2 linked regions of the Schizosaccharomyces pombe genome follow. Each later gene encodes a partner of the first gene's protein in a complex. Each region holds a gene or a part of one and is shown in the gene's direction. Other genes may lie near its edges. The genes, in order: naa30 and naa35.

What was found.
Region 2: the proteins of naa30 (region 1) and naa35 are in contact, whole or in part, in a cryo-EM structure (PDB 7L1K), measured with the Schizosaccharomyces pombe proteins. Residues at the interface, in NP_596246.1 of Schizosaccharomyces pombe: His9 (codon at 1,967), Leu12 (codon at 1,976), Gln20 (codon at 2,000), Leu23 (codon at 2,009), Pro26 (codon at 2,018), Tyr27 (codon at 2,021), Ser28 (codon at 2,024), Lys29 (codon at 2,027), Tyr30 (codon at 2,030), Val31 (codon at 2,033), Arg33 (codon at 2,039), Tyr34 (codon at 2,042), His37 (codon at 2,051), Glu122 (codon at 2,394), Arg123 (codon at 2,397), Gly125 (codon at 2,403), Phe126 (codon at 2,406), Cys127 (codon at 2,409), Arg128 (codon at 2,412), Tyr129 (codon at 2,415), Lys130 (codon at 2,418), Arg131 (codon at 2,421), Leu132 (codon at 2,424), Tyr133 (codon at 2,427), Arg134 (codon at 2,430), Tyr136 (codon at 2,436), Leu137 (codon at 2,439), Asn138 (codon at 2,442), Gly139 (codon at 2,445), Phe143 (codon at 2,457); in NP_596720.1 of Schizosaccharomyces pombe: Glu53 (codon at 2,530), Glu54 (codon at 2,533), Leu56 (codon at 2,539), Leu64 (codon at 2,563), Leu65 (codon at 2,566), Ser67 (codon at 2,572), Ile68 (codon at 2,575), Ala70 (codon at 2,581), Glu72 (codon at 2,587), Glu75 (codon at 2,596), Pro76 (codon at 2,599), Lys77 (codon at 2,602), Met78 (codon at 2,605), Tyr116 (codon at 2,719), Gly117 (codon at 2,722), Ser118 (codon at 2,725), Glu185 (codon at 2,926), Glu186 (codon at 2,929), Asp187 (codon at 2,932), Pro304 (codon at 3,283), Val305 (codon at 3,286), Arg306 (codon at 3,289), Asn307 (codon at 3,292), Ile308 (codon at 3,295), Pro309 (codon at 3,298), Asn441 (codon at 3,694), Cys443 (codon at 3,700), Arg446 (codon at 3,709), Arg447 (codon at 3,712), Gln503 (codon at 3,880).

Annotation. Positions count from the first base shown.
Region 1 is NC_003423.3:3,020,491-3,023,951, forward strand, and holds naa30 (NatC N-acetyltransferase complex catalytic subunit Naa30), read left to right. Parts: upstream 1-1,907; 5' UTR 1,908-1,942; coding exon 1,943-2,058; intron 2,059-2,146; coding exon 2,147-2,483; 3' UTR 2,484-2,640; downstream 2,641-3,461. Other genes in the region: zng1 (nucleotide-binding domain-containing protein CobW/HypB/UreG), read left to right, coding at 363-1,598; autophagy-associated protein Atg9, read right to left, coding at 3,023-3,461. UniProt on the Schizosaccharomyces pombe protein: Catalytic component of the NatC N-terminal acetyltransferase.
Region 2 is NC_003423.3:4,131,346-4,139,454, forward strand, and holds naa35 (NatC N-acetyltransferase complex subunit Mak10), read left to right. Parts: upstream 1-2,313; 5' UTR 2,314-2,373; coding exon 2,374-4,068; intron 4,069-4,113; coding exon 4,114-4,545; 3' UTR 4,546-4,635; coding exon of another isoform or gene 4,636-7,182; 3' UTR 7,183-7,240; downstream 7,241-8,109. Other genes in the region: ARS-binding protein Abp2, read left to right, coding at 357-1,940; RNA-binding protein Prp24, read right to left, coding at 4,636-7,182, 7,241-7,506, 7,631-7,862. UniProt on the Schizosaccharomyces pombe protein: Component of the NatC N-terminal acetyltransferase.

The DNA of each region.
Region 1 (3,461 bases):
AGATTCTATTGCCTATATGTAGTTTTAATAAATTACTTGCTATGTTTATTATTATTTTGCTCTGATGTCTTGCTTTTGCTATAAAGTCATTTCATGTAAAATTCGTTGTATAAGTAATTTATCACACTATTCATTCGTAGCTGCTGACAATTTTCGCTATAAAACCATGTCAGTGTTATACGAAATGACTGCATATAGTGCAAACACAGTGTTGTGCTAATTTCATACTAAAAAAATTCATTATTAACACTTTTCGAAAGTATTTACCTGTGAGACCTAAATTGAGGCTTTTAGAAGTATTTCTCAAAGTATTCAACTCGAAAAGATTAATTATATGACCATTATTTAAAAAAGGTGTAAGAATGGACTTTGAAATTGAAAACGAGTCGGAAATTCCACAGCTGGTTGACGTTGAAGAGGTTAACACACAACCGCATTCGGAAACATTAAGCGTACCTACGGTTTCGTCCAATAATGATATTGATTCATTTGAGCAGCAATCAGATTTTCTTCTAGTTGATCATGACTCTACCTTGGACCCAGTCCCTGTCACAATACTGACGGGCTTTTTGGGTGCCGGTAAAACTTCTTTGCTACGGTCAATTCTTGAAAATCGAAATGGTAAAAGGGTTGCTGTATTAATGAATGAGGTGGGTGATTCGGGAGACCTTGAAAGGAGCTTAATGGAGGATGTTGGAGGAGAAGAACTTTATGAAGAGTGGGTGGCTCTTTCAAATGGGTGCATGTGTTGCACTGTGAAAGACAATGGGATTAAAGCTTTGGAAAAAATTATGAGGCAAAAGGGGAGATTTGATAACATTGTAATTGAAACAACGGGTATAGCCAATCCTGGTCCTCTTGCTCAAACATTTTGGTTGGACGACGCGTTGAAAAGCGATGTCAAGTTAGATGGCATCGTTACTGTTATTGATTGTAAAAATATAGATAATATCTTAAAGGATGAAAGTGATATTGGTTTTATTCAAATTTCACATGCTGATTGTTTGATCTTAAACAAAACAGATCTTATTTCTTCTGAAGCATTATCTGTGGTACGTCAAACTATATTGAAGATCAATTGCTTAGCGAAGATTATTGAAACAACATATGGACGGTTGGATGACATTTCTGAAATTTTGGACTTGGATGCATACGGCAACGAAAATACTTCTAATCTTGAGTGGTCGATTCAAAGGAGCAATGATAGCAATATTAATTGTTCTACTTGTTTGGACGTGGATTGCCAACATTTGCATTCTCTCGATACGCATAGCCTTGATATCTCAACTCATACTTTTAAACTGCCCCCACTAATGTCGAAAGAGGTTTTTCAGCAATTTCTACAATGGGTTCGTCATACACTTTGGTCTTGTTTGGAGGAAGGGGAAGACGAGGAGTTTATGATTTATCGAAGTAAAGGAATTTTTAATAAAGACGATGGCTCTTGGTACATCTTTCAGGGTGTTCGCGAAGTATTCGAAATTATGCCGCTGTCGGAGAAGCCTCGAGCATTTTTAGAAAAGGATATCCATCCCGAAATTATCCTAATTGGGCGTAATCTACATCGAATATCTCCTTTCGTCGTCGGAAACCAATAATGGCAGTTATTTTATATTTCATTTTAATAATGTATATTGATATATGTTTGTTGAATTAATTTTAAATGTACGCAATAAAAAGCTTTTATACTAAATTATTTTATATAACACTCAATATTATAAATGTCATATCATTGACATAGATGTAACAAATCCAAGCAAAAAAGCCAAATTATAAACTTAATTTATACTGGCCTACTCGTTTATTCATTGTTTATAATACTCAGTTTAAGAACCGCATATAACGTTTTAACGCTATATCTGTAATTTCGACATTCGTCTTAAAGCTGTTGATATATACAGCTCTGCAACCGTTACAGACCCTAAATTATATCTAGAAGAGAATGGTGACAATTGTCCCATACAGTCACCAATATTTAAAAGATATATGTCAGCTTATTCAAAAAGATTTGAGTGAGCCATATAGTAAATATGTGTATCGTTATTTTGTGCACCAATGGTATGTTCCCATTTCATTGATTTCTCAAACTGCTTCTTGCATATTATGAAACTCGGCAATATCATTATAGTTTACTGACAGATTAAAGGCCAGAATTCAGTTTTGTTGCTTTAGATAATGATCGATTTATTGGAGCTGTAATATGCAAACAAGATGTTCATAGAGGGACGACGCTTAGAGGTTATATAGCAATGCTGGCCATAGTAAAAGAATACAGGGGACAAGGAATCGCTACTAAATTGACTCAAGCTAGTCTGGATGTAATGAAAAATAGAGGTGCCCAGGAAATTGTTTTGGAAACAGAGGTGGATAATGAGGCAGCCATGTCTTTTTATGAAAGACTCGGGTTTTGTCGCTATAAACGTCTTTATCGTTATTATTTGAACGGCACTGATGCATTTCGATACATCTTGTACCCGAATTGAAAAACAATGCTACAAAATAAAATCGCGGCATTTTCTATGCTCTAAGAAAATTTGTTTCCACTTGTCGCAGTATAAGTGAAAGTTTTAAAGTTGTTCCAATCTATTTATTTTTTTTTATTTTTTTTCTTCTACTGATTAATACCATAAGTAATTGTCATTAGTCGTCACTGTAGCGTAACTCCGTAATTATAACTGTAATAAACAGTGTTTACATTGATTCAAAGAAATTGTACGGATGTTCATAAAAATAATATCATTCCATTAAATGTAAACTTCATTAATAGTAAAACATAAAGTCTACAGCTGAATAAATAAAGAAGCTTCAACGTAAACTGCTAACTCTCCAAACAAACAATCACCATTCATTAAAAGAAATTAGTAAAAATACAATCATTACATGCATTAGTGGCTCAAATTGCCTTGCTAGCAAATTGTTAACACTTCTTATAAACATTGTCCTTCATTTTGTATGACAGAAAAATAAACCATTAAGCCATTGAGACTTGCTTGGTTGTTTCAAGAACTGACTCTCAATTTCATTAACGAAGATCCCTTCTAGGTGCTTCCGTATTAAATTGTTCGTAAAAGCTGATGCGAGAAAGTTCTGGTTTATTTTGAATTAGAGGGCTTATTTTACGTGATTGTACCAAAGAAGCGACAGACTCATAAGGCGGGTTGTCCTGGAAAACAGCGTAACTACAGACGTACCCAACGCCTTCAACGTTTATAGTATGTTCTCTGAAGAAATCCACAATATCTTGACTGCAGGAAGGAAAAGTGAAAAACAACAATACGGGTGTCAGCAAAATTCCAAGAATCTCCCAAAGAAGATTAACTATGCGATATGAATATAGAGAACAGAACTCTTGTTGAACAGCTTTACTATGCATGTTATCAGACCACCATCCTGGCATGTAATGTGTAAAAGTGATTACGCGCCTTAAAGCTTTTTCCGGAGCAAAAACCAAAGTTTCATCA
Region 2 (8,109 bases), 1.1 Mb from region 1:
AGAGAAGAAACAAACAAAATTTAACATCTGTACTTATATTTTCTTTTTTTTGGTTACATTCATTCTCTTATTTCGTTTTTTTTGCTTTATTTACCTCCATTCCCTTTTTTTAGTGTACGGAAAAAAAAACATCGGTTCATTTACAGATTGGAGTTTAATTTATAGACAGCAACTCCTTCCTGTTCCAAGAACTGATACATTCTATTAAAATCCCTGGATCTTTTCTGATATTTATATACTGTTAATCTCTTTATTCGACATTGCTTGTGTCTTTCTGTCGTGTTTACTTAATAATCCAACGTTTATCTATCTGTCTTTTTACATTTTTTATTGTTTTTTAAAGCAATTAATCAAGGATGAACTTTTATTCCTTGTTGCCATCTAGACATGATGTTAGCGCGGATAATATTACTGAAAAGTTCTGCCAATTCTGTCTTTGCTGCAATCCCTGGTATGCAGGTGCTGACACGAGGCAATTAGCAAATGCATTCAATATGATTCCTAAATCAGAGGGTCAAAAATTTGAGATTTGGGTCTTATTTCTCCTTGTCCGGCAATACCACCAAAAAATAATTAACTCTTGGTCCAAGCTGGTGGGTTTTCTTGGTGTGGAACGAAAAGATGAACAATCTACTCAAAAAATACAACAGTATGTTGTTCGTTTAAAACGGTGGATGAGTCAAACACATGTTGATGCTTTTTTCGATTATCTCCTGAATAAACCAAATCCTTATTATCTCGAAATTCCTGAAACCCAACCTCAAGTTCGATGCAATGTAAATGTAACTGATGATTTGGTTATTAAATCTTTACGTGCAGGCTTAATGTCTCATCCAGATGTTAACTCTTCCTCCATCTCCACAATGCGCACGTCAACCTCCCCTTCTAACTGGATTCATTCAGCTAGTGCTAGTTTAGACGACAACACTCACAATCTTGGTAGCTTTGTCACAAACCCTCATGCAGATTCCCAAGAATGCCCTACCCCTCAATCCCTTTTAATGAGAGCGTCCCATCACATGTCTGAACGAGGTTCTCAACAAGCACATCAGACAACTCCTCAAAACCATTCTCTCCCACATCCTCCAAATATGTTTGAACCACCTGACGAAGACCATCAGTTACCTTCCGCAGCCAACAATTCACATAACCATGATCACGCTTTTCAAACTGCTGAAGCAGTTGGCGTTGCTGATTCCATTGATCCTGACTGGCATCAATGGCCTGATGATTTACGAGACGTTTCTTCACCCAAAGAAAGTGACGGGTTGAATGATTCTTGGTCTCGACAAACCAATCAAGTAGAAACGGAAAATGTTGAAAATGAAGCAGGAGTCCCTCGTAAACGCGGGCGTCCGCCAGGAGCTCGTAACAAAATTAAACGGCTGAGATCTGAACCATCTGTGTCATTAACGCTAAGTATCTCTTGGTATGAAAGATTTGAAAAGTTGATGCATGCTCAAAATACAATGCTTCGCTCTGCATTTTCACATGTTGCTCGTCTGCCCATGGAAACGGTTTCTCAACTTTTATCACACTATACTGAAACGATATCCCAATATCTTCCTCCCTCCGAAACTTCGCCGATCCCCAAAACTCCCAATTTTAAGTTCATCTCAAGTACTCTTTTAGCCCTGGTCTCTTCTCATTCCGAAATCCTTGAAGCCAGTACCGATCGCTTAATTTGGACCGTTCATCAAGGACCATTAACAGCTACTATATGTCATGCATTCAATTTGGAAAAAGCGCCGAGTATGCACTCATTAGCAGAAGCTCAGATGATTCCCGATGTCCCTATATCTCATTCAAATTCAATGGAGCCTTTAGACACTGTTTCCTCATTAAAATTAGAAATTGCCAAACTGAATGCGGCCCTAAAAGAAAAAAATTTAGAACTCGAAAATTTAAAGAGAAAGATTATGAATGCAGTGTTTGACTGAAATCACGATTCTTCCATGCATGTATCTATTTATGCAGTACACTTTGCGACTGCACGTTCCACGAACTGGTGCAATTTCAAAGTTACAAAATTCTCATGTTCAAAAAAGCATAATTGTTTAAAGTATTTATTTTGTTTTCCTTCTCTTTATTTTATAAAAAGTTTTTAGATATTCTACTGCTAGGTGAGATGGGTTACCATCGAGATAGTTTTTTACCTTTGCAGATACAAGTAAAATAATTTCAAATTGGATTTATCATTGTTTTTATTATTATTGAAAAAATTACCATCTTATTTACTCTCGAAAATGTTATTGAACAAGCATTTTTATGCGTGGAATTTTTGTTGTGACTTACAGAGTAACACTTTTCATTAACCCATAAACTAGACGTTCAATAGAAAATTGGTCAATATAGGGGTGTTTTGTCGATTTTATGTCTGTTAAAGAGTCCCTATCATTGCTTAATTCTATGCAAGGAAATGTGAAGATTGGAAATGTGGAACCGGCCAAAGGGAACGAAGGTTATGTTGATAACGCTGGATATGTCGACTGTACAAAGTCTTACTTTGAAGCCACGAAATCTCTGAAAGAGGAACAGCTAGTATGTGATCCAAAATTTACATTATTGGATTCAATCAGTGCCTTTGAAATTATGGAACCGAAAATGGATAGTGGGATTGATTATCAGCCACTTCGTGTAGATTTTTCACGTGATCTCTCTTACTTGGAAATATTAGCGTTAATGGATTTAATTGTCTCTGCGGAAAAAGAGTGGCATTATGGATCCCCCTTATCAGAGAGCTTACTCTGTAGTGCCCATGTGTTCTCCATTTGCAAGTCGCCTATTTCACAAGTGGGTGACAGTGGCTTCTCCAGTGGTAGCGGAAGGAATACAACTGACATCGTTCTTTTCCCTTTTGTTTTGGCTGTTATTAAATGTTGCGATATTGTTCATCGAGAATTTCTGATGGGAAATTTATATGACGAGGAAGACATTAGTTCGTTTTCATATCACATGTCCTTTCTTCAAAATTACCCCATAGAAAAACTCAATTATCTTTTGCAATCTAGCATCGAATATTTGGCTTCCGAGGTTATAAAATTTTCTGCCGAGTTACGACAAATTATCGAGGGAATTCTCAATAGAATACAACTTCGAATTGGTATTTTACGAGTGTATGAAAGGAGTGATATTAAGACCACCATCGATGCTCTCCATCTGATCAAAAATTTGGTACCCGAGATTCAGAACACGGTTTCGGTAGTTGATTCATCTATCAAGGAGAGCATATTAAAGCAATATTGGGATTTTCGCGTCCAAGCCCAATTAGTTGCTACAGCTCCTGTGAGGAATATTCCTCCTACTGGCATTGAGCATTCTTATCAACGAATTTTGTATTTTGCTGATGATATGCTTTTGATTTTGAATAGCCACACTCTCGCTTCTTCCTTGGCAGTATATCAGTTTTGTTTAGATTTTACGAGATTGAATCGTACTCCAGAGCCTTACGTCCGTTCCTCCCTTCAAGCACTTATCACTGCTAACAATGCAGTTAATCTAAGGGATCAACCTACTTCGTATATGTTAGAATGTATTCGTGAGTTTTCTGGGCTTCCTTCAAATTTTTATAATCCTAACACCCGTACAGTAATCGAAAAAAACTCTATCTCATCAGCCTATGGTCCGCTAGTTGAGTCTTTGATTGCTCATTCAACTAATATCATGGTTGACCTTGTCCGAATTTGTTCCCACAATCCCTGTCGGTTCCGCCGTAATCTAATAAATTTACTTCCTGAAATTACCGTTGCTCATTTTGAAGCTGAAGCGCTTGATTTGAAATTCGTAGCAAAAAGCCTACCAAGTAATGGACCGTTTTCATCATTTATTTACCATGTTAAGCTAAATGCAATTGAGCATATCTTGCTTTCTTCCTTTGAACAAAAACTTCACCAACCATATCAATGGCCCCATTTTTTTGCTGTGCTTGATCATGTCTTTTCTATCCACCAGACTCATTTAGAGCTTCATGGAAAGGATCGTAATACCCCACCTATGGCCAAAACCTTTGTTACATATTTGCATCGAATATTGAATGCTATAAAGGAGACCTATTCTGGCTATTTACTAGTATGTATAAAGCTTATCGCTTCTTTTTTATTCTAACGATTTTAGCTGACGGTGCTTTGTATGCGGTTGAATATCATTAAAACTCCTTCATTTACTCTTGATGAAAAAATTCAAGAGTCATATTACATGGCCCATTATCGTCCTTTAATTAATTTGCGTCAACCCAAGCCACTACTTCGTTCGGAAGCTGATTGCATAATCAAAAATCTTCAAAATTTCTCTACGGATGATTTAATCATCAAATCTAATGAAAAATTCACTGCTGCAAAGAATAGCCTTATTAATGTTATAAAATCCGGTTTTGAACAGAATGAGTTCATCAACCCGTATTTCTTGCAAACCAACTATTTAAAAAATTTATTATGTTGCTGCATTACAAATCTGGTTTCACTTGCAATCTTATCCAAAGATCATAGTGCTAATCTAAAAATAGTGGAAATACCTGGAAATCCGCTCCCAAGTCTTTCACGTACATGAGGTGTTGTTCGTCTTTTATGTTAATAAATCAAAATTATCAAAAGTTAGGTTTTCAATATTTTTTTAATCATTCAATCTAATTATTGCTGACTATTTTAAAAACATTTTCCTAAAATCATCGTTGCTTTTAGGTGCATCTATCTGCATTTCTTTATCGTCTAAATCGTCCTTCTTAGAATTTATATTGGAATGATTGGAATTGAAACCTTGAAACGTTCGGCTTCCGAGTCGCCGTGGGCGTGTAGCAGAGGTATTGTAATCGGAATGATTCATACTAGATGGGACATTGTGCATCATTTCATTGACAGTGGTAATGTGTAGTAACCTGCCACCAATTTCATGTCCTTCTAATGCCAAGGATGCCTTTCCCGCATCATGAATATCCAAAAACTCTACTACAGCACCTTCATGTTCAGGATGAAGAACAACTCTATACAACTTTCCGTAGCTTTCGAATAAACTTCTAAGTCTAGCCTCGTTAACAGTCCCGTCGACATTAGTGACTCCTAGGCTTTTGCTTTTGATTTGTTCGAATGATTTTTTTGGCGTTGACATTTTATTTGACTCAGTAGTCTCAAAGCTTTTAGCTAAGGTTCGGTTGTCATTGGATGATACCCTTGTTTTCTCTAGAGATTCTCGAGGCTTCGACAAAACAACGTTCAAAACTCTATTTCCCAATTGCTTTCCAGCAGCAGAAAGTGCATTTTCAGCATCTTGATTTGTAGTCATTACCACATATCCAAAACCTTTATGTTGATTAAATCTTTTCGGTATTCGAACACTCTCAACCTGCCCATAATCCCTAAAAAATGTTTCTACGTCTTTTTCATTTACTTTAAAATCAATATTTGTAACGTAGAGTTCTCTACCCTCATAGACAGCACCGCTTCTAGGAGTTCGCCGAAGCGGGTCTGATATAAAGACTTGAATAGGATACTTCTCTTCCAATAGCTTCTTATGTAACTGCAGGGCATTGTGTGCCTCATCGGGCTTTCTCATTTGTACATAACAAAAACGCCTGTTCGTGTTATACCTTAGACTAGGAAAACGGACGTCAACCACATTACCATATGCAGAAAATAATTTGGTTATATCTAATTCATCATAAGTCGGAGGAAAATTGGTAACGTAGAGGTTCGTGTCTACATGAATTTGAACAGAAATTTCATGACCCCTTATCGATTTAAGGTCTCTTGTTTTAGCAGCAAGAACTTCACTGGTTTCAGAAAATTCAATCTGAGCCACTTTAACATCCTTTTGATTGTCTTCGAGGATAAAAATGCGTATAATATTACCACAATCTTTGAAAAAAATTTTCAACTCATTTTCGCTTATATCGGAAGGTAGATTGGTAACCAAAACTGTAAGTTCTTCCCTATTCCTGTGTTGCTCAATAGGTTTCGACTTTTTGAACACATCACCTTCTTGCCCAGGTTTTCTTTTCTTTGAAAGGGCGGCTGTATCATCAGCTTGAGGCACTTTTAGTGGTTCGGTGTTTTCGACAGTCTGCTTCGTTTCTTCAGCAAAAGAATCCAATTGACGTTTGAAGCTAATCCTCTGTGCATTTAAAACGTCATATAAATGTGATGTGTTTGTGAAACAGTCATTATTAAGGTCCATAATGGATTGATAAAATTGGAACAGAAGTTGAGGCTGATCAACGTTTTTGTAAAGGCTTTTTTTTAACGTCTCAGCCGCAAGCTCTGGGTTATACTTCATCGTACTTATGTATCGAGAAATCCAATATAATGCCTGATTTTGAAAATCATGAAACATATCAGACCAGCACTTTTCTACGCTTTCAAAATCAGAGATTTCTGAATATAAATAAATTTTTGAAAGTTCAATGCGCATTCTTGCATCCTTTGATCCCTTATGATTTTTTCGCAAATAGTCTTCGACTTTATGAATTTGATGTTTCAAAAATTCCTGTGGCTTATCTTCATTAGAAGACAAATATAGGCATGCTTTTAAAAATCCGCTAAAAAAATCAATAACCTCGTCAAAATTTACGAGCAAATTTGAATTCAAACATCGATCTTTCTCTTCACAGACAGCCGATGTGGATGCTCCAGAAAGCGTCATATAAGTCAGTTTAATGGACCAAATACGCCCAATCCATGAACAGTTACGAGTAGCTCGTTCTGCTACACTGGACGCTTGAGAAGAAGAAAAATCCACTTTACTAAGCCAGGCAGTGTATTGCAACCAGAGTTCCGGAATGAGGGGATACAAAACTATGGCACGCTCATAGAGAGTTGTTATATATTGTAACTCAGCTGTTGAGCGTCGCGATTCATCATTAATTAAATCCATATACGCTTCGAGAGAATGATTTGCGCTGTTTAACAATAGTTCTTTATTAAAAATTTTTGCATTTCTTTTAAGTGTAGTCTCATACACTTTATTGCTTTTCACCATAACATCCTCATATTCGGAAGGAGACCAGTTATTTGTGACAAACGTTGATAAAGAAGTAAACGTTTCTTCAATCTGCTCATGTGGAAGTTTTAATCTATCAATATGAAAATCATATATCTTGTTTTTAAAAACAATTTCTTGCTCTTCTTCTCCCTCAAATAGAGCATCACCGAACGTCTGTAAAAATTCCAAATATAACGTCCAAACACATTGACTCTGTAAACATTGATTAGTAAATACATTTTTATCATGAAGAAAATTTTTAGTTCCTTACTTTAGAAAAATGAAATTTGCAAGTTTGGTATGCACGTTCAAAAAGAGAATGGGCATCTGTCAAAGTAATAACGCCGTTTAATTCAGACTGTTCTTGTTCAAAAGAAGAAGTGTCCATTAAGTTTAGCGTAAATTCAAGATACATACACCAAATTTTGATTGACAGATAATCTTGAACTGCCAAATCAAACAATGTTTTTATCCTCACATAGTCGTCTAAAGTCCTACAGTTTTTGCACTCATCTAAAAGGTAATCTACCCACAAATCTAAAAACCATTAATAAATGCTTGTCAAAAGATTAACAAAGTTAAAGTAATTAGTGAATAATTTTTGCGAGTCTATGGAATTCGCCTCAACACGCTTTACCTAGACGATTGTTGATTGACATACCTTCTGAAAGTGGAAAGATCGATTGAAAAGTCTTTCTAGCCTCTGACAACTCCTTCTTTTTATCTAGACGCTTTAACTCTTCAATGAGTTTAATATGACTATCATAATTATAGGGATGTAAAATCGTAAATTTGGTCAATTCATCCAGAAGCAAAGGCTTTTTTTCGTTTTGTTCTTGTGGATCAATATCCATTTCGACATTCTCATCTTTTAAATCTTGTATTTGACTCATTTCGTCAAAACCGACGAAGACTAGGCTTTTGCTGGGTTCCTTAGGTAAATGTCATGCGTATAATGTCAAGTAAATTTCAAGATAAACACTAAAGTCTTAAAAAACAAGGGGAAGTTAAATGGAAAAAAGTAAAAAAGCAATTCGTTAAAATACTAGAAAATATTAAACAATCTAGGTTGATCCTAATATACAAGGCACATTGTTAAAAGGGAGAAAGAGATTAAAAGATTGAATAATAAAACTTGTA